Caenorhabditis elegans: one gene and its partners. The protein of the gene in region 1 interacts with the protein of each later gene in a pairwise test. Each region holds a gene or a part of one and is shown in the gene's direction. Other genes may lie near its edges.

Region 1 (3,573 bases):
GATTTCAGTCGACCACGATTGACCACGATTTCAGTCAAATTTCACAAAAATCATTTCCAGGCAACAACAATTCGCGATAAACGCCAATCCTGTGGCTGTGCTCCAAGAGTTCAACCAAGTTGCTCTTGCCAACGAACCACCTATACTCAACCACAACAGTACAGTTGTTCCTGTCAGAACACTGCTCCAGTCCAGAAATCCTGTTCATGTGCCCAACCAGTTCAGCAACAAACCTACCAAATTCAAGCTTCTCAATGTGCCCCAGCTTGTCAGCAGTCTTGCCAGAACCAATGTCAATCTGCTCCATCTGTTAGTCAATGTCAATCTACATGCCAACAAAGCTGTCAGACTTCTTCCTGTTATACTCCAACTACTCCAGCTCCAGTTCAATGTCAACCATCCTGCATGCCAGCCTGTGAACAATCCTGTGTTGTCCAGACTCCAGCTGCAGTTCAATGCGTGCCACAATGCCAACAACAGTGCCAACAGCAATGTGTTCAAACTCAACCAATTCAACAATGTCAGCCACAATGTCAGCAACAATGTGTTCAACAATGTGCTCCAACCACTACTGCCGCTCCACAAATAATCAAGATTAACATGGAAATCTCTGCTCAGTGTGTTCCTCAATGCCAGCAATCATGCCAACAACAATGTGTTCAACAACAAGTTCCAGCCCAACAGTGCAATCAGCAATGCACCCAGCAATGCCAGACCACCTGCCAGCAAGCAGTTCCACAATGCCAACAACAGTGTGCTCCACAATGCCAACAACCATCAGCTCCACAGTGCCAGCAGTGCCAGAATACCTGCCAACAAGCTGCTCCAGTTTGTCAGCAACAGTGTGCTCCACAATGTCAACAGCAATCTGCACCAGCTTGCCAACAATGTCAGACTTCGTGCCAACAAACTCAACAGTGCCAACAACAATGTACTCCACAGTGCCAGCAACCATCTGCTCCACAATGCCAGCAATGCCAATCTGCATGCCAAGCTCCAGTTGCCACTACTGCTGCTCCACAAGCTGTCACAATCATTCTGGAAGCTTCAGTCTCCCAATCTGCACAATGTGAACCACAATGCCAGCAATCATGCCAACAGCAATGCGTTCAGCAGCAACAACCAATGCAACAATGTGCTCCAGCTTGCACCCAATCATGCTCTCAATCCTGTTCTGCTGCTCAACCAGCCCAGATGCCATGCCAGACACAATCAGTCAACTCCTGCTCGTGCCAGCAAAACTATTCTCCATGTGGAAATGGACAGTGTTGCAAGAGAAAGTAGACATCGAATGCGTAACTTTGACATCAGTTCTCTGTATATATGACACAATTTTCTCATTTTTTTCACAATAAATAATAATAATGCTTGAAATAATTTACTTCTAACTTCCAAATAATTTCTTCGATAATCAGCAACAAATAAAGTCCCATAAATTTTTTTCACAAAACATTATTTCTAAATGCCACGGTATTTTTTTACTCCTGCGGTAAATGAAATAAAACTTCACGCAATCCAGCAGTACATTTTTTACAATTTTTGAATATTTCTCAATCATTTCTGCATTTGGAAGTCGTTTGGTAAGTTCTTTTGAACATGATTTGAACCAAATAAAGTTTATATGATTTAGACAAGAAATTTAAAAGTGAAAACCAATGTCATGGTATTCAAAGATTTACGTAGCAGTGCGAGAATACCGCGCTAAACATAAAATCACTGGATGGATTTTGACGAGATGTCTCAATGTACTTCTTTTCATTCAACTTATTTTGCTCTGGTGGTCGTGAGTCATTCTTGATTGTTTGCGAATCATTTAACTGGGTCTTTTGCAGACTTTATATGTACGTGACAGTGACAATTGGTTATTACGTTCAGTCAACAATTCAAGCAACCATTTATTTGATTGTTGGATCATTTCTGTTTGTTATGTCAATGTGGAGTCTTGCAAAAACGTTGTTCACGAGAGTTGGCAGAGTTCCAGAAAGATATCGACCTAGTAAAGAACTTGAAGATAGATTGAAAGCAGTCACACCGATGGAGAAAAATCGATACGTGGTAGAGAAATCGACACCTGAACAGGTAAAGTGAAAAAATCAAAATAAGTGGTTTAATCTTGTCTTGATTGTTTTGTTTTTTATTATTATTTGTTTATTTTATGGATGCTAAATACACTTTATATAATACACCAACAAAGTTTTCAGCTTGCACAACAAAATACTATTTTGGAGGAGATGTGTACTTACTGTAAAGTAGTCGTCGCTGAATGTGATCAAGTGGGAAGGCTCAAGTATTGTTACGAGTGCGGACATATCAAACCGGATCGTGCCCGACATTGTAGCTCATGTGGGAAGTGTTGCATTAAGTATGATCATCACTGTCCATGGATAAACATGTGTGTTACACACGTCAATTACAAGTACTTTCTACTCTACATTATCTACACCAGTTTTCTTGTTTATTGGTATTTGCTCACTTCACTAGAAGGTGCTGTTCGATATTTTATCAATCAACAATGGACCGATGAATTGGGAAAGTTTTTGTTCTACTTGTTCAGTTTTATTGTCGGCGGAGTGTTTGGTTACTATCCACTCGGTGAACTTATCATATTCCATTATCAATTGATCTCATTGAACGAGACAACTGTCGAACAAACAAAACCAGCTCTTCTAAGATTTGATAATGCAGCTGACTACAATATGGGGAAATATAATAATTTTCAATCAGTGTTTGGATGGGGATTATGGCTGTGTCCAATTGATTCCAGCACCCAGGATGGTCTGCATTTCGACATAAGGTATTTTAGAATTTCGTTTAAAAATCAGTTTAGCACTACAAAACGTGCGCAATAAAGTATTTCTTTCTGAAAATTTTTCTTGTATATAAGCTAATCAGATATTTTTCCAGATACGTCAACACCCAGCAACGGAATCGATTTGTTAGAATTGAGGAGGAACCATCAAGTACTCAAAGTTCGCAGTCATCGATTCAATGATTCGGTTTAATGAAACTTTCCTTGATGTTTTTTTTTAAATTAATTTTTGTTCGTATCTATATACAGTGCTCCACAAAATGATACGGCCACCCCTAAATTTTGGTATAACTCAAAACTGGGTTAAGATAGCAAAACATAGTTTCATGTGAAAATGTTCGTTGTACTGGCTAGCTTTGAGATAAGTGATGGAAATATACCCGAAGCGTTCGTAAAAAAGAAAAAAAAACATTTTTTCATGAAAAACTATTTAAAAAACTCCACAAAATGATACGGCCAGGTGGTAGAAAAGTAGGAAAACTTAGAAAAATAAGGAACAAGAGATGATTAATAATCCACGGGATGAGCTCTTGTACTAATCACATCAAAAACGCGTGAATCCATGAAAAGTTAAAGATTGTCCAGGAGAGTTTGGTCAACTTTATGCCATGCGTCAAGAATTGCTCTTTTGAGGTCGTTAACATTGCTATTGTTTCCATCGTAAATCTTTCTCATCATGAATCCCCAAACGTTTTAAATTATGTTTATGTCCGGGGAGCAGGCAGGCGAGTCGGGAACAGGGAGCCCTCTGTCACTTATCCACT
Region 2 (5,748 bases), 1.4 Mb from region 1:
GTGGGAGGAAAGGCTAATTAAACGGAAAAGGGGCAAGCAAAAGTCGAAATATGGTTACGGTTGATGGAAAGAAGGATTCAATTACTACGTACAATTGACCAAATTGATAATTGACGAACTTTTAAAAATTTTGTTTACTTTTTGTTTATGTTGTATTGTGTTGAAAACTAAATTGTGCCGAATTATACGCATCATTTTGAAAAAGGTAACTCTCTGCCAATTTTAAGTTCTTGAAAGTCATCTATCATCTAATTTGAACGGTTTTATTTATGTAAGCCAAGTCAGTAAGAAAGTGAGTTTAAAAAATAGATAATACAAAAAATAAATATGAAAAATAAATACAAAACCAAGATTTTGGCGAGTTTGTGGTTTCTTACAATAAATTCTTGATAGATTAACAGATACCTTCAAAAACAAATCAATGGTTGAAATACTAATTTTTAACGAAACCAGGAATTCCTACAACTGTCAAAATTAAACTGGCACATGGGAAATTGAGTATCAAACAAGCAAATTAATGTTTTCTAGTCAAATCAGGGATCAAACACAAAGAATAAAAAATCTAAGGTTGTGTAACCAATGAAAAACCGAACACTGACCAAGTTTAGTCAAATTGAAAGTGGGTGAAAAATGACTGTCGACCGAAAACCAGTCAGTATGAAAAGTCTGTTGAAATTGTCGCCGACAACGGGGGTAACCACGACGATTTCGGGTTTCACACACCATCAAATATATCCTTTTGTGCGTCTCTCTTATGGAACAATATACAAGTTACGATATATTTTTTTTTGATTTTCTGTCTCTCTACTATCCAAATTTTATATTTATTGGGGAAAAATGTACAGTATAGATTGAAGCCTGGTGAGCAATCGGAAGCAAAATCATTTTCTTTGTTTTTTGTTTTTTTTTATTCGTCGTATCTATTGAAAAGAGGCAACATTGCGTCGGAAGCCCCAAAAAGGGACGGGAATGACAGTACAATTGAATTCTTCTCTTCAGAAATCTGAAATTCTTCAGAGAATTAGAAATACAATTAAAAGTTGTGTTCGAGGGGACAAGAACATAACCACACCCATCCGTTTTATTGAGGATCTGAATGTTCACGTCATAAAATGAAAAAAAAGGGGTTTGTTTATAGGTGTTCTCTATATCGGATTGACCCAAATCGGCCTACAAAAAGAGGAAATGAGATATGAAGTGGCAATAGATACAGTGATATGATAACAAGCATTACGATAAGCAACTCGTTTTTTTCATTGCAATGAAGCAACGAAAATTAGTGAACGCCTGTTCCGAAATCAGATGTACTTCTGGTGATAAAAAGAAATAAACAATCGATGTACTTTTGGTAACGTGTATTCTGTAATTCAGTTCACAAATGTTTGAAAAATTAATATTGTTGCCAGCGGTTCCGAGAGATGTATATCCTATAGTTAGTGTATACTATAGTTCCATTGAAGCTCGTAGTTCTGAAAAATTCGAAATAATTGGTTTCATAGGCACACAAGTAGGCACATTTTGCTTGAAAACCTTATTCTAACTTTTCCACGTATAACCGTTTCAAAACATGAGCTATTGAATCACATAGGTCTCAAATGCCAATCCGTTTGGCTCTCTTGGCTCTTTAGTAAGCAAAGCCGAGAAAAGGGACACCTGCAGTTTCCCAATTCGGAGAAAATGTTCAAAACGTGAACTCAAATCTGTTTGCCAGCGGTTCACAAATTTTCAAAACGTATCATGGTGAAAATATTTATTTCACCTTTTTAAAATCTAACTGAATTGTATCAACTATGGGCTTAATTGGATTATGGAATGTAAAACGTCGAGCCAATCGAGCTGTGAGAAAGTTTCAATTTGTGGTTAATAATATCAGACGGTTGGTTAGAGTGTGGATTTTGTTCAAACACATGAAAAATTTCAGAGAAAAATCAGGTCAAAACCGAGTTTTAAGATATTCTGAACGTTTGAAAAAATGGTTGTCCGTTTTATATCCTCCATGGAAAAAGGAAAAAGATGATGGGATTTATGACAATTTATTCGAAGATGGAACAAGGTTTTTGGAATTATTTTGAGAAAAAAGAAAATCTTAAAATTATTTTTCCAGAGCTAATTCTATTGTACTTCTATTCCGAAACATCCTAATGATTGAATTATTTGGAATAGTTATGTATTTTCTGTTGTCGTTCAAATATTCACAATACCCGGAGTTGTAAGTAGATCATATCCTAAATCTAAAGTTAAATATTTTCAATATAGTATTGGAACTTCCATATCCACAATTATCCACGTTTTTCTGATTTTCACTTTGATATTTCCAAAAGTAAGTACTTCAGGATTTTTATGTGGAATTAATAAAATATTTCGTTTCAGATGATGACGTACTTTATGATTTCTATCCACGTCATGTTGACTACAAAAATCAAAAACATAATTTTAATTCTTCTTGTCACAATGGCTTTTGAAGTTTTATCAATTCATCTATTCACGGGAACATCTCAAACTAATTTCAGGGTCCTGCAATGAATGTTATTGGAAATATTCATCAAGTAGCTTCTGGTGTTGCCTGCGTTCAAATTGATGTTATGAGTTCAAGAAATGATGTGGAAGGGAATGTAATGGATAAAGGAGCTATGCTTGTTTCTCGGTTTCGTGCACTTCTTCAAAATGTATCTGGTCCAATGAATAAGGTCAAGAAAATGCTATTGGTTCTAGATGAAAAGATGACAAAGTAAGTTGCAATTGGGATACCCAAAATGTCAAATTCTTGTAATTTGATTAAATTGATATTGTTTCAATTAAGATTTGTGGACATCATGAGGCGACATTATCGAGTTATAGCCAACTTGTCAAATCAATGTCGAAATATGCTCAAAACTCCCTATACAAAATGTCTTGATATTTTCGACGACGCATATTTTTATTGTAAGGGGAAAGCTCGATTTTTTGGAAGCCACGGCGATGCTTGTGAAATGATTCAGAAAACTGCAAAGGTATTCAATCAGTCAACATATCAATCCTATTATAAAACATTAAGATTTGCCATCAAGCAAAGGGTTTCTCAACGGAAGTATGTTCTTTACCTTCTATCATTGGAAAAGGAGTTAAAGGAGCAGCTGTACCATTTTATGCAGCTTACTTTCAAGCAATTGAATTCGCGGTGAAAAAGATTTTCTACGTACACATTGAAGCAGCAAAATGGGCACTGAAGAAAGTGAATCCAGTGATAGAAGAGATAAAAAAGGCGAAAAACATTCGAGCTGAATACCAGTCATCTGATGATGGTAAACCAAATGCTGCAGATGATACAACTGCAAACTTGAGAGCAAGTATAAAGAAAAGTTTGATGGGAATTGTGAATGTATACATACGGATTATCAATATAATTTCATTTATTCTTCGATATTGTATCATGCCAGGATTGCTCATATGGCCGTTCATCTATGTGAGTTTAAATAAGTAATATGTTAACATACAAAATTTTGAACTGATATTTTTCAGACACTTCGGTTCATGTATAACTACAACTATAATGACGACTTTAAAAACCGTTTTCTCACAAAAGAATTTACAAAAATTGATCAAGATTGTGCATTTCGCGGAGCTCGTAAAGTCATGCCATTAATGGCAAATGAATCAAAGCAGGTAGGTTTCTCTGGTTCATTATCATTCTAAAAATCTTAGACACCGTTTAGTATGTCAGTCGAGGTCAGTGGAAAATGACAGAACAAGAGCGACCTAAATTTCGATTAGATATTTTCATCACAATTGTCAGTTGTGTCACTCCTTTCTTTATGTGTATGCTTGATTATGGTATATTTACGGTAATTAAATGAATAAAATTATATTGACTTCAAATCTATAGATTCAAAGTTTCAGACTCTATCAACTGTTCATACTTTAATGAACCGAACAAATATCGATACTCCTGCTCATTATGAATTGAAAGTTGCTGGAAATAGTTCAATGTCAGATGTGATGAATGAATTTCTCGATGTTTTCAGTCCATTTACTAAAAGTATTCGAGACCGTGAAAATCGTTGGAGACGATGTTTCAACGAACCAAATCCTCCAAACTATACAGAAAATATGGTGATGTTTCTCATGTTTATCGCTGCACTTTTTCTTTGTCGATTGAAGGTTTGAAGAGTTGAGGAGTACTGTTAAGATATATTTAATTTTTGAAGGCATATTTTGGAAGGCAAACACTTGTATTGGCAGATTACTTCTTTCCGAATCGAGTAAGAATTCGTGCATTGAGCCTTTATAACAAAATTTTACAAAGTCGACGAAATTTGCTGACAGAAATGTTAGGAAATAATAAGGTAAATGGGAATTTCCGGTCTCGAGTTGACTGAAATATTTTCAATTCCTCGATATTCACAACTTAAACATTGAAAAAAAGTTAGCCACTACAGTACTACTTACTACATCACTACGTCACCGGTACCGTATTTTTTGAGTGATAAATCCCGATTTTGCGAATTGATAGTATTCAAAAACAGATATATTTTTTCCTGAATTTGACATTCCGATTTGATTTAAAAGTAATTTTTGCACTCGTAACATTGATAATTGACAGAAAGATGTAGTGGGTGGTGAAGATGTCATAATTCGGAGAACAATGCAAAGTCGTGGATTCGTGTGCTCCGATTGTGTAAAATGTGAAAAGTACGATATGAAAGTGTCTGATCAAGAGTTAGTTTTGTTTATTGATGATCAAGAAAACAAAGCTATTAATTCAGAAATGTGCGAGTGTGTGTTCATTGTAGTGCTTTTTACTGTATCAACTGTTTCTCAGTGACTCTTTTCTGTGTGAAATGCGAGGAGGAAATGCAATGTATTAACGGGATTGAGCTATACTATGAGGAGAGTAACGCAATTATTGATGACTCAGGTAAAATTAACTTTATTTAAACATTAATAATCATCTATTCCAGATATTTCATTGAGTGAACGCGAAGACGACGAACCTGACAAAGAACCAACAGAAGGAACAACCACCACCGCAGTAACCACTGTCGTCTGAATGATGTTTGAAAAATTAACTTTCCCGCCGTTGGGGAAAGCGCGCTCCAATGACAATGTACTTTTCGAGTTCAAATTTATTTGCCTTTTGGCGCAGTTTTCGAAATGATTTCGTTCATTTATTAGTTTTCTTATTATTTCCTCGAACTTCAATGATTATTTTCCAATTGAATTCAAATAAATTATCATTTAAACTTCATTTTATTTGTTATTTATGGGTTTTCCCGTTTGGAACTCTAATTCACTGATTTATTGTTTCAGAAATGATGGGTGATAGTCATTCTTCATTCACAACAACGACAGATGAACATCTATATAATCAATTTTCTCCGGGAAGAAGGTATCAATTAAGTAAAGATTCATACAATGAGAATAATTATAGAAAGAACGATTTTCCCGCTGCAAGCAGTTCATCATCTTCACCAAACTTGCGAAGGTCCCCAAACCGCACAGTCAGTTCACCGCGTGTTCAACAGAAGCCAATCACAATTTTCGATCAAATCGTGGATTGGTTTCAAGCGGAAATCAGTGTTAGAAAGAGATTAGCTGGTGCTGCATGCGGATATCTGTCCACCATTTTCTTCATTGTCACAGTATCCATTTTGAAACTCACGATTTGGGCCCCTTTCAGCTCAGTTCAAGGTTGACGTTTATTTATTTTTCTATGATTGGACATTTCTCTTTTTCAGACTCCCTGGCGTGGTGGATTTATCCAAACGCATG
Region 3 (7,636 bases), on another chromosome or scaffold:
ACCACTATGGGTCTCACCACGATGGGTCTCGCCACGAAGGGTCTCACCACGAAAGGTCTCACCACGACGGGTCTCACCACGATGGGTCTCACCACGAAAGGTGAATTCCACGGGAATTCAATAACCGCCAAATTATTTTCAAAAAATTAGAATTTGAATTCCCGCCAAAATTTTATCTTTTTTTAATTTTTATTTTCAAATTTTTCCTAACTGCCGTAATCCTACAGTACTACTACAGTACCTTGACATTATCATCTACCAACTCCCAACCCAATATCTCTTCAAATGCTTAAAACTCAAATTTTTCCTAACTACAGTAACCCTACCGTAATCCTACAGTACTACTACAGTACCATTACAGTACCTTGACATTATCATCCACCAACTTTCAAGCCAACACCTCTTCAAAAGTTTAAAATTCAATTTTTCTTAAACTACAGTAACCCTACAGTAATCCTACAGTACCCCTACAGTACCACTACAGTACCTTAGCATTATCATCCACCAACTTTCAAGCCAACACCTCTTCAAAAGTTTAAAATTCAATTTTCCTGAAACTACAGGAACCCTACAGTAATCCTACAGTACCCCTACAGTACCACTACAGTACTTTGACATTATCATCCACCAACTTTCAAGCCAACACCTCTTCAAAAGTTTAAAATTCAATTTTCCTTAAACTACAGTAACCCTACAGTAATCCTACAGTACCCCTACAGTACCCCTACAGTACCACTACAGTACTTTGACATTATCATCCACCAACTTTCAAGCCAACACCTCTTCAAAAGTTTAAAATTCAATTTTCCTTAAACTACAGTAACCCTACAGTAATCCTACAGTACCCCTACAGTACCCCTACAGTACCACTACAGTACCTTGACATTACCATCTACCAACTTCCAAGCCAATACCTCTTAAAATGTTTAAAAATCAATTTTTCCTAAACTACAGTAACCCTACAGTAATCCTACAGTACCCCTAAAACACTACAGTACCTTGACATTTTAAATTGATATGACACATTTAAATTAAATTTTGAATTCCCGCCAAAATGGTTTCAAAAAATTAAATTTTGAATTCCCGCCAAAATGTTTTCAAAATTTAAAATTTTGAATTCCCGCCAAAATATTTTCTCAGAAAATTTGAATTCCCGCCAATTTGTGATGACGTCACAAAAGGGGCGGGGCCTATGTGACCCCTCTTGTGTGATTGAGACTACAAACTACAGAGTTCAAAGACCAAAGATCAAAGATCAAACTACATAGGGACAGAACGACACGCGCTTTATATATAGTAAATTGATTATGGCAATAAAATAAAGTTTCTTAATAATTTTTTGGATTGGATTGTAAACAATTTTATTATCTCAAACAAACCAGATTTTTCATGGATTTAACTGGATCCAAGGGTCTCGATGATCTGCTGGTATTGAGCGATCTTTGGGGCGGCATTCTTCTTGGCTTGAACGGTTCATTCTAAGTATCTTATTTTATTCAGCGATTTCGTACACCTGCACCATATGTGGCCATCGAGACGCAGAAGATGACTGAGACTGAAGAGACTGGAGAATTTGATCATGTTACTGTGCGCGTCACTGCTATAGAGCCCAAGAAAATGCTCTCTTTTTTCTAGTACTGAATAGTAGTTTGATTGAAAATCTCCTGACTGGGCAATTTTCGGTTTGTACGGTGGAGCGCGTTTGCGTTCATCTAGATTTTGAAAAATATAAAAGATAAACTAAAAAAAAAGTTTCCCGTGTTCCAATAAAAAACGAAACATTTTAATTTTTGAATTGGCGTGAACTTTTTTCTACCGCCGCTATATTCTGGATTGAGGGGGGAGGGATACGTGGAAAAAAATGTCGGAGTGAAAAAAAATCAATATATTTATTTCAAGGTTTTCGTTTTCCAAAAATGGTGGGAAAGGAAAAGAAGGAATCTACGAGGCTAAAATTAAGGTGAGTGCTTTCAATCGCCTTGCAAGGATCCTTGGAAATGGGAGAATGGCCGTGCGAAACCTCTTCCACGGCGCCAACCATCGGGTACTGTAGACGAGATGTTTCGCTCGTGTCAGGACCCAAGTTTTCATCAACAAATTTACATTTTTTCAGCGCAATAAAAGAGTATCTTGGAAAATATAGAGGTGTAGACGCAGACAATAATGAAGGATACGATGGTCATCAGAAATGGCATGAAAATGATCAAGTTGTACGCAGGACTTTATCAGATTTTACAGGACAAATAGATAAATTTCAGGTTCTGCAAGCCATGGCCTACTTCTATAAGGCTGTGAAAAGCAAATTATACTCTGAAGTACGATCTTTTTTGGGCATTTTGCTTCCACATGGCCCGGACGATGGTCGCCTTTCTTCTCTTCAAAGTCTTCTAATGGATACATCTTCTGAAGAATCTCTTAAAGTTCGTCAACGCCTGAAAGACCGCTAAAGGCCGGCCTAAGCCGGCCCACCTACCGCCTACACCCTAAAGACCCTCTAATGGCCCGATAACGGCCCGCATACGGCAGCCAACGCCTAAAGGCCTAAAGGCCCGGTAAGGCTGGCTATCCACCGACGAAAGCGTACGTCCGCCTACGCATACCTACGCCCGCCTACTTTGCCTATATCCACCTACGAACGCCTGCACCCGCCTACAACGCATACACTCGCCTACATCCGCCTACGTCCGCGTACGCCGGCCTACACCCCTGAAAGACCTCTCAAGACCAGGTAAGGTTTGCTAACGCCCGCCTACACTCGCTTATGACCGCCTACGACCGCCTACTTTGCCTACATCCACCTATGATAGCCTGCACCCGCCTACAACACATACGCTTGCCTACGTCCTGTAACGCCCTTTTGAATTACAGGAAGCTCTTCTATTATCGATTGCCGTCGGAAGTCGTCCACTAGTCGAGTTTGTTCTCGTACTTTTCGTCGATGCACCATACCTTGAAAGAAGTGGTAAGTGTGAGGAAGTTTGTATTAAAGCGCATTTGCATCACACTAATTTCAGGATCTGCTAATTCTCCACATTTTCCACCACATATGACTCCACTGATGCTGGCATGCATTTTGAATAATTTTTCGATTGTTCAGTGTCTTATAACTAGAGGACATTGTATTCAGATACCACATTTCATTACTTGTGAGTTCAAACATCATATTTGACGCGCAAACATTGCAAAAGAGCGAACATGCGTCGGTAGGACCGAATGCACCATATTCTACGCGCAAAAATGGTAAAGTGTTGCAGGTGAATGCAAAACCTGCAAACGGGAAACCGTAACAACCCACTCATCAACTCGCCTCGTCGACGTCATGCGTGCACTGTCCTCTGAAGCCTACCTGTGGCTGGCAACTGATGACGTGTTCGCTGCCACGTGTGCTGTCGCCCGAGACCTTCAACAATTGGCGAGCGATGATCAGCTGGAATACGTGGAAACCTATCGAGACCTCGAGATGAATGTGCAACGGTTTTTGTGCAGAATTTCAGATCAAGCATGGAGAGTCGACGAGTTCAATATGATGGTTGCTAATGTAAGAATTTGTGTTAAATTTTAGATATTGGGAGAATTTAAATTGAATTTCAGAGAAACTACTGCCCGGAAAGAATGACTGAAATCTCATCACCGCGTCTTCAAATGGCTATGGATTCTCAAATGAGACAATTCACGTGCTCCACCAATTCACAGACAACTATTAAGTCTGTCTTCAGATCAGGTAACTGTTTTTGAGGGTGAAGTCCTGAGGCGAGCCGTAGGCGATGATGAGGCGTAATCGTGCCTACCTACCATAGACTTTCTAATGGCCTTATAGCTGACCTCATACACTTTTCAGACTGGTACAACTATGGAATCAAGCCAAAACGAGATGCTTGGCGTTTTCTGCGAGCCTGTATCCTGATGCCATTCCTTGTGATGCTTCATGCATTTATGCCAACAAAGGGTACAACAATGTGCGTTCCACTTGCTCGATTCATTGCTCACATCACAATGTACTTGGTCTTCCTCATCGCCGCAATTCTCCGTCCAACAATCGGTTTCTACTTTGCATGGACTGATAGTAGTAAGTGGATTTTGAATTTTCATAGTTAAAAGCTTAGGTTTAGGTTTAGGTTTAAGCTTAGGCTTAGGGTTAGGCGTAGGCTTAGGCTTAAGGTTTCACCTTAGGCTTCGGCTTAAGATCGGGCTTAAGCTTACAACATTTTTTGTGAAATTGAAATTTTTTCAGTTGAAGTAACTGTACAAGCACTCGAAATCTTCATGTACGCCTATGTGATGGGATTAGCTCTGGAGAAGGGAATTCTATTCTATAGAGTCGGACGAGATGGATTTTTTGCCTTCTGGTGGAGATGGTTCGATGCGGCTTTGATCTTTATTTTCTTGTTTTCACTGATATTTTTTACTGGAAAATGGGGAAAACGAGAAGCTTTCGATCCGAGTTCCGTTGACAGAATGCACTGGGTTCGGCTGAAATCTTTTGAATAATTAATTAGTTGAAATTTTCAGCCATCTTTCGAATTCTCACTTCTCCATGAGATATGTCTTGCGATCGCCTGTGTGCTGAGTATTTTAAAATGTTTTTACTATGCTCAGATGATGAAATCAATCGGTGGATCTGTTGTAAGTGGAGTTTGCGCGTAGAATTCGATGTTTTGACCGCAAAAACAAAAAAAGTCTCTTGAGCTACATAGGCAGACAGCCTGCCCAGATACTTACCTACTGTCTATTGTGTGTGCTTTGGCAGCGGGAAACTGAATATTTTCAAGTCATCGTACCGCTACAGTATCCCTACAATACTACTACAGTGCCCAACACAGTAATCCTAGTAGTCCTACAGTGCCATTACAGCAAGTATACAGTGGTTATACAGTAGTCCTACAGTCCTCCTACACTACTCATTCATATGTCTAATACTAAGTTGTTCCCAAATTAAAATAATCCTACAGTGCTACTACAATAATCTTACAATAGTCCTACAGTAATCCTAAAGTAATCCTACACTCGTTCCACAGTAATATCACAGTAATCCTACAGTACCACTACAGTAGTCCTACAGTAAACTTAATTTTTCCAGATATCTGTCGGAAAATGTGTTGGGAAGACGTACACATACATACTCATCATGGTCGCAATCATCGTTTCGTTTTCTGTTGGATTGAATATTATCGTCGACCCATACTTGAATCGAAGTACCATGAAAATAGGAGATCAGGATTATACAAAGACCACGGATTCTTATGAAACGTCAGTTCTTTTTTTCTATATTTTATCTGAGACAACATATATATTTTCAGAATTGGAACATCCTCTAAAAACCTGTTCTGGTCAATTTTCGGTTACTTGGGACCCTCAACATTCACTACAGTTGTTGGAAACACTGGTCCAAACATGGATCCTGTGAAACATACTTTGAACTCGTCAACTTTCGAAATTCTCGCTGCTGTTTATCACGGAATTCTGATAATTACAGTACTCAATTTGATGACATCGATACTTGTGAAAGGAGCTGATGAGGTGTTGGATAATGAGGAAATGGAGTTCAAATTCACACGAGCAGCTATTTATTCCGAGTTTCTCTCGTGGGAAATGGCGGCTCCGCCACCGCTTAATTTGATTCTTGTAGTTGCTCATTTTGTGCATCGGAATTTGGTACGTTGAATTCGAATTGGAATTTTTCAAAAACCTCTGCTTTCAGCTCAAGAGATACTATGCTTCACCGGCGTGGGGCGAGAAGCCGGCAAATGATGATGTTGAGGATCAGGCAGCAGATGAGCAGTACATGGTGAGTCTGAAGCTTGAGTTGTAGGCAGGCACGCCTACCTACGAACCTGCCTGCTGCCTATTTGTACAATGAGCTGACACATAAAATTTTGTGTATTTTCAGCAACTTCTGATGGTGGTTTTCGCTCGATTCGTTGCTTCCAAGGAGTGCAAGTACAAGTCGATTTGGAGATCCGAATTTCATGTAAGCTTGGCTAGGCGTAGGCAGGCATGCGGTATACTGTAGGTCTGGAAAGAAGTTTACGCGCATTTGCACCAGCCTTTGAAAATTTCGAAACCATTTCATTTACTATATATAAAGCGCTTATTCTGTGTGTCCATAGTTTGTAGTCTATGTAGTCTTTGTAGTCTGTGAAGTTTTGGCTTCTGTGGGGATAGTGAGTTGGGGTTAGTGTAGGGATATAGTCGGGGTACTGTAGTGGTACAATAGTGGTACGGTAGGAATACTGTAGGGTTACGGTAGTTTCAGAAAAGTTAGTTTTCAGCCCCAGAAGTCGGGGGCCGCGCCGGAGGTGCGGTCCACGGCTGGTTTAGGAATAACATTTTTGGGTTTGTTGAGCTTTTCATGCAGGCCTGGGTACTAGAGGGGTGGGCCTTAAAGTCAGGCAGGCACCTCAAACATGCCTGCCTGTGCCTACCTTAAGTTTGGCTGCCTATTTACGTGACTTATACAAGTATGCCTCAAAGTCTACGTGCCCCCCTCAACTCTGCGTACCTGCCTACGTGCCTGCCTACCGCCTATTTCCGATTGTAGTCTGAAAACGTCTACCGACGACCGTATCTAACTCAGTTGGTACTTGTGTAGACATAAGGCAGGCGTAGGCAGGCAGGCATGCATTTCCATATAATTTATGGAATTTTCAGAGAGAGGAAAAACAACCGCCTCGAGTGACATTCCTCACAACCGGAGCCCATTCCTTCCTTATGGACAACACTTTCGAAGGATTCAAAATGAGGTCATCTCGAACCATGGAAGCTGAAGGATACAAGGAATACACCACTGTCCAGTATTATGTGCCTAAGAGTAAGACACCGGGTCCAGCTGCTGCAGCTGATGCAGGAACTAAAGTGGCTCCGAAGGATGACAAACCTCAAAACAACCCGGTTCTAGCTAGAACTGGAATCGATTCTCCAGTTCCATCTTCTAAACAGGTTATGTCTTCGGAATTATCTGCTAGCATTCCGAGAGCTCGCGACGTCACATTCCTCGGTGTCTGAAGCAATCGGAGTTTTTGTTTTAAGCGGAAAATATTAATTATGTATCCATTGTGTTTATTATGACTTCGAACTGAAATAAATCGAGAAATTGGAACTTTTGTGATTTATTTGCTATTCAATTCTGATAGATAAAATACAGCAAAGCACGAGCAGGAGGTAGGCAGGCAGGTGGGCAGGCAGGCGAGCTAACAAGCAGCTTCGATGTGATGGATCGGCAAGCTGGGAGGTAGGTAGGTTTAAGATCAGTAAGAAATAGACAAACAGGCTCAAGATAGGCAGGCGAACAGGTAGGCAGGCCGGCTTCAGATAAGCATATATGCAGCCAGTTGATGTTAGGGATGTCGGCAGACTTGAGATAGGCCCTTCATGTAGGCATGTAGGCAATCATAAGGTATGCATGTACGCAACAATACCCATACATGTTCCTCTAACTATACGTATTCCCCATCATATCATCATCACCCGATTCAAATAGTTCCCATTCCAGTTCCAAATTGCTGTCGTCGATCATCGATGAATCCGCCCTTCCAACTTTTGTTACAGCCTCCTCTTGGCTTCGCAAGTCAATAATTATGATCGTAAACGATTGGAAATGGATTTGAAAGAGAGATAGAAAGGGGAAGAACAGAGAAAT
Region 4 (4,131 bases), on another chromosome or scaffold:
GTTTGTAGTCTCTGAGTCTCACCCAATTTTTGAATTTTCTATTAGTTTTTTTGTAAAAAAGTGAAATTCGTTAATTTTTTTGCGTTTCTTGAACATTTTCAATTTGAAACTCGAAAAAATTCGAATTTTAGTTTCAAACACACCCTGAAATTCCGTTTTTGGTGAGGCTGAGCCGGGGTTTGTAGTTTGTAGTCTCTGAGCCTCACCCAAATTTCCATAGTTATTTTAACGGTTTTTTCCTGTAAAAATAAACTTTTCCACTGGTTTTTCCAAAAATATTGAGAAATCTTGTTATTTTTTTGGGTTTCTTTTTAAAAAAATTCGAATTTTAGTTCAAAAAACACTCAAAAACCGATAAAATTCAGCTTTTTGTAGTTTGTAGTCTCTTAGCCTCACCATTTTTTTTTAGTTTTTTAACAGATTTTTTCTGTAAAAATATAGTGAAATTCGTTATTTTTTGCGTTTCGTGAACATTTTCAATGTGTAACTCAAAAAATTCGAATTTTATTTTGAAAAACACCCTAAAATCAAGTTTTGAGTGAGGCTCGGAGCATTTTGTAGTTTGTAGTCTCTCAGCCTCACCCATTTTTCGTAGCTTTTCAACGGATTTTAGCGGTAAAATAGGATTTTCTACTAGTTTTTTTTTCGCAAAAAAGTAAAATTTATTAATTTTTCTGAGTTTCGTAATTATTTTCAATTTGAAACTCGAAAAAATTCGAATTTTAGTTTCAAACACACCCTGAAATTCCATTTTTGGTGAGGCTGAGCCGGGGTTTGTAGTTTGTAGTCTCTGAGCCTCACCCAAATTTCCATAGTTATTTTAACGGTTTTTTCCTGTAAAAATAGAATTTTCTACAAATTTTTTAAATCAAAAATTGTGAAATCCGAATTTTTTTATGGGTTTTTAAAAAAATTCAAATTCTAGTTCAAAAAATACTCAAAAACCGATAAAATTCAGCTTTTTGTAGTTTGTAGTATCTGAACCTCACCGAAATTCCAAAATTTCTCAAAAAAAATTTGTTTTTTTTTGGTTTGTAGTTTGTAGTCAAGAAACTATAGTTTGTAGTGGTCCTGAGCCTTTTTCCAGAATATATTTTTGTAGTTTGTAGTCGCACGTGGAGTCAGAAAGTCCCATTTCGTTTTGATCTTCGAAAAATGCGGGAGAAGAGACGCAGACATCTCATCTCATTTCGTATGGTTAAGAGCGTGCTGACGTCACAATTTTTCTGGAAAAATATCCCCGCATTTTTCGTAGATCAAACCGCAATGAGACAGCCTGACACCACTTGTAGTCGAAAATAGCAAGATTGTTCAAATTCATTAGAAAAAATGTTTTTGTAAGAAAAAAGATTGATTTTTGCATATTAAAAATCTTAATGCTTAAAAAACTGAAAATTTTCCAATTTTGTAGTTTGTAGTCTCTGAGCCTCAACCAATTTCTTCTTTCAGGTCGTCGTTTCACGTTGGTACGGTGGAATTCATCTTGGACCCGATCGTTTTCGACATATTAATAATTTAACTCGGCAAATTTTAAGTGATAATAATTATGGACCGAAGAAGTCTTAAAATTCTATATTTTTTAACGTGATAATTTTTTTTTCTTCAATTTTAAACTCCCTACGTGTGCTTTTAATATTATTAATCCAACAACTCTTTCAAATTGTAATCATTTTCATTTATTTTTCAAAACATTGGTCACTTTATACTAATAAATAGTTTTTCAATCAAATATGCGTTTTCTGATGGAGTTGGGCTCACCGAACGATGCAAACTACACTGTATTCTGCTGTTCTCATGTCGTTTTGGCTTTTGCCATTTTTATGGTAATTTTTGGAAGTGTTCTGGGATAATTTTTGGAATTTTGGAATTAAAAAATTTTTTGAAAATTTTGGGAAAATTTTTTTTTTTTTCAAAAATTTCAAAACGTTTTTTTCACTTTTTTTTTTGAATTTCAAATATTTTCCAGATCCTTGACTTTACCCTAACTCTATTCTCATTTGGCTTAGAGCTTTTCCTCATTTTCGTAAGTTTTTCTCCTGAAAGTTCCCCTCAAAATCCCCAATTTTCCTGCAGTTCCACGACACTTTTGACCAATTTTGGGCGATTTTTCACGGAATTTCACTGGTTACTTCAATTTCCGCAGTTTTGGCGATTTGTGTGAGTATATTTGGCGGAAAATTTGAGAAAATCTGAAATTTTTGACTTAAATTTTAGGAAATTTTTTTTCTTAATCTGAAATTTTGAAGCTGTTTTCCCAAAAAAATCAATAAAAAAGCCTACGATTTCCATAATTACCAAAAAAAAAATCCAAAATTTCCTCATTTACACTCAAAAAAACCGTAAAACCCCGAGATTGAAGCTCAGACTACAAACTACAATGTTGGTTGAGGCTGAGCGCAGAATTGTAGTTTGTAGTCTGAGCCTCACCCAACATAATTATATTTCAGGATAATCCAGTGGCAATTATTGTTTATGGGTGTCGTGTTATGTTGATTTTGGGATTCGTTACAACTCGGTTCATGTGAGTTTGACTACAAACTACAAACTACAAACTACAAACTACAAACTACAAACTACAAAATGCAAACTACAAAATGCAAACTACAAAGTACAAACTACAAACTACAACTGGGAGGAACAAGCTTGCTGAGACTACAAACCACAATTTGGGGTTGCAACTCAAAAAGTTGTAGTCTGTAGTTAGTTTGTAGTTTGTAGTTTGTAGTTTGTAGCTTGTAGTTTGTAGTGTGCACTCTGTTTTTTGTAGTTTGTAACTTGCAAGTCATATTAGAAACATATTAGCAATTTTCCAAAGTTTCAAAATTCTCACCTAATTTCGCAATACCGATATCAGTACAATAAGTCTTATGGAAGTTGTAGTTTGTAGTTTATAGTTTGTAGTTTGTAGTTTGTAGTTTGTAGCCTGCAAGTGATGTTCGAGACGTATTGGCAATTTTCCAAAATTTCAAATTTCTTACCTAATTTCTCTAAACCAATACTAGTGCAATACGTGTTAGGGAAATAGTAGTTTGTAGTTTGTAGTCTGTAGTATGTAGTTTGTAGTTTGAATTTTGTAGCTTGAAAGTCATATTCGAGACATATTGAGGCTTTTCCAAAATTTCAAATTTCTCACCTAATTTCACAATACCGATATCAGTGAAATACGTGTTAAGGAAATTGTAGTTTGTAGTTTCTAGTGTGTAGTTTGTAGTTTGTAGCCCTTCCAACCCATTTCCAAACTTCAGAATCTCAATGCGTGATTTCACATCAAAAGAAGAGCCAACTCTGAGTGAATTGTTGAATTTATTCCAAATCGTGATTGTGATAATGTACACAATTGGCATTTTCCTAGTGATTCGTCTATTTACCTATTCAGCTGGAAGATATCGTGGATATTATGACGTGGATGATGATTTGAAAGACGAAATTCGAAAGTATGTTTTTAGGGATTTTGAAAAATTGAAAAAAATACGTTTTTTTCAGAAAATTCCTGGAGTATGAGGCGGATTTGGATGAGAAATCAGAGAAGAAGGATTAATTTTTTTAAACTTTTGAATGATTTTTAATAAAATGGCTGAGTAGTTTGGGTTTTCAACCGGAATTCAAATTTTCCTTCAATTTTTTTCTTTCTGCTCATTGAACAGGTCTCATAAGCTCGAGAAACTTCTGGAATGGATAATTTTTTGACTCTGTCGAAAAAGTGTCAATATTAATGCAAATTATGAAAATTTATTCTCAGAAACAATTACAATCATGTATTATAAACGTTTCTGCCATTCACCAAGCAGTCGGTACAACTTTTTTTTACCCAACACGATTCCGGACTTCTTGCTCCAGCGCAGTTTGCAATCCAACCATCACTTCTCACATCTTTATCACAAGTTTCCGCACATTTTGGTCTTTCAGCTTTTGGACGTAGTTCAGAACACGCAATACGGCAATAATCGTACCGATAGGTATAGGCATTACAGGCCGAGAGGCACAACAGCAGGAATAGTACGATTTTGGTTATCATTATGATGAAGTAGAATATGGTGATATTTAAAATTTTAAAAACGTGGAATTTGAGTTATTCGTTTTTAAGACAATTGTTATGCTACTTAGGCCCCGTCAACTGTCAATGTAAACAAT

The links.
Region 2: the proteins of spe-10 (region 1) and spe-42 interact in a two-hybrid assay, tested with the Caenorhabditis elegans proteins (one study listed by BioGRID).
Region 3: the proteins of spe-10 (region 1) and spe-41 interact in a two-hybrid assay, tested with the Caenorhabditis elegans proteins (one study listed by BioGRID).
Region 4: the proteins of spe-10 (region 1) and spe-38 interact in a two-hybrid assay, tested with the Caenorhabditis elegans proteins (one study listed by BioGRID).

Annotation. Positions count from the first base shown.
Region 1 is NC_003283.11:10,382,693-10,386,265, forward strand, and holds spe-10 (Palmitoyltransferase spe-10), read left to right. Parts: upstream 1-1,557; 5' UTR 1,558-1,580; intron 1,581-1,630; 5' UTR 1,631-1,655; coding exon 1,656-1,783; intron 1,784-1,832; coding exon 1,833-2,079; intron 2,080-2,201; coding exon 2,202-2,794; intron 2,795-2,904; coding exon 2,905-2,992; 3' UTR 2,993-3,048; downstream 3,049-3,573. Other genes in the region: pqn-2 (Prion-like-(Q/N-rich)-domain-bearing protein), read left to right, coding at 61-1,284. UniProt on the Caenorhabditis elegans protein: Involved in spermatogenesis, specifically in the morphogenesis of fibrous body-membranous organelles (FB-MO), which are Golgi-derived organelles used for transporting sperm-specific components, in spermatocytes and in their localization into budding spermatids.
Region 2 is NC_003283.11:11,733,011-11,738,758, reverse strand, and holds spe-42 (Dendritic cell-specific transmembrane protein-like domain-containing protein), read left to right. Parts: upstream 1-1,762; 5' UTR 1,763-1,790; coding exon 1,791-1,876; intron 1,877-1,921; coding exon 1,922-2,053; intron 2,054-2,104; coding exon 2,105-2,209; intron 2,210-2,256; coding exon 2,257-2,320; intron 2,321-2,370; coding exon 2,371-2,463; intron 2,464-2,510; coding exon 2,511-2,728; intron 2,729-2,800; coding exon 2,801-2,990; intron 2,991-3,034; coding exon 3,035-3,442; intron 3,443-3,498; coding exon 3,499-3,642; intron 3,643-3,692; coding exon 3,693-3,821; intron 3,822-3,876; coding exon 3,877-4,137; intron 4,138-4,184; coding exon 4,185-4,322; intron 4,323-4,579; coding exon 4,580-4,695; intron 4,696-4,742; coding exon 4,743-4,894; intron 4,895-4,937; coding exon 4,938-5,026; 3' UTR 5,027-5,219; downstream 5,220-5,748. Other genes in the region: npp-22 (Nucleoporin ndc-1), read left to right, coding at 5,289-5,365, 5,408-5,667, 5,715-5,748.
Region 3 is NC_003281.10:3,438,471-3,446,106, reverse strand, and holds spe-41 (Transient receptor ion channel domain-containing protein), read left to right. Parts: upstream 1-1,899; 5' UTR 1,900-1,916; coding exon 1,917-1,960; intron 1,961-2,113; coding exon 2,114-2,210; exon of another isoform or gene 2,211-2,258; coding exon 2,259-2,420; intron 2,421-2,868; coding exon 2,869-2,962; intron 2,963-3,014; coding exon 3,015-3,146; intron 3,147-3,254; coding exon 3,255-3,538; intron 3,539-3,591; coding exon 3,592-3,721; intron 3,722-3,838; coding exon 3,839-4,066; intron 4,067-4,231; coding exon 4,232-4,464; intron 4,465-4,509; coding exon 4,510-4,623; intron 4,624-5,077; coding exon 5,078-5,247; intron 5,248-5,297; coding exon 5,298-5,652; intron 5,653-5,698; coding exon 5,699-5,785; intron 5,786-5,887; coding exon 5,888-5,968; intron 5,969-6,648; coding exon 6,649-7,002; 3' UTR 7,003-7,096; downstream 7,097-7,636.
Region 4 is NC_003279.8:10,963,925-10,968,055, reverse strand, and holds spe-38 (uncharacterized protein), read left to right. Parts: upstream 1-1,673; 5' UTR 1,674-1,742; coding exon 1,743-1,823; intron 1,824-1,966; coding exon 1,967-2,023; intron 2,024-2,073; coding exon 2,074-2,157; intron 2,158-2,447; coding exon 2,448-2,521; intron 2,522-3,245; coding exon 3,246-3,434; intron 3,435-3,483; coding exon 3,484-3,538; 3' UTR 3,539-3,584; downstream 3,585-4,131. Other genes in the region: impt-1 (Protein IMPACT homolog), read left to right, coding at 1,450-1,566.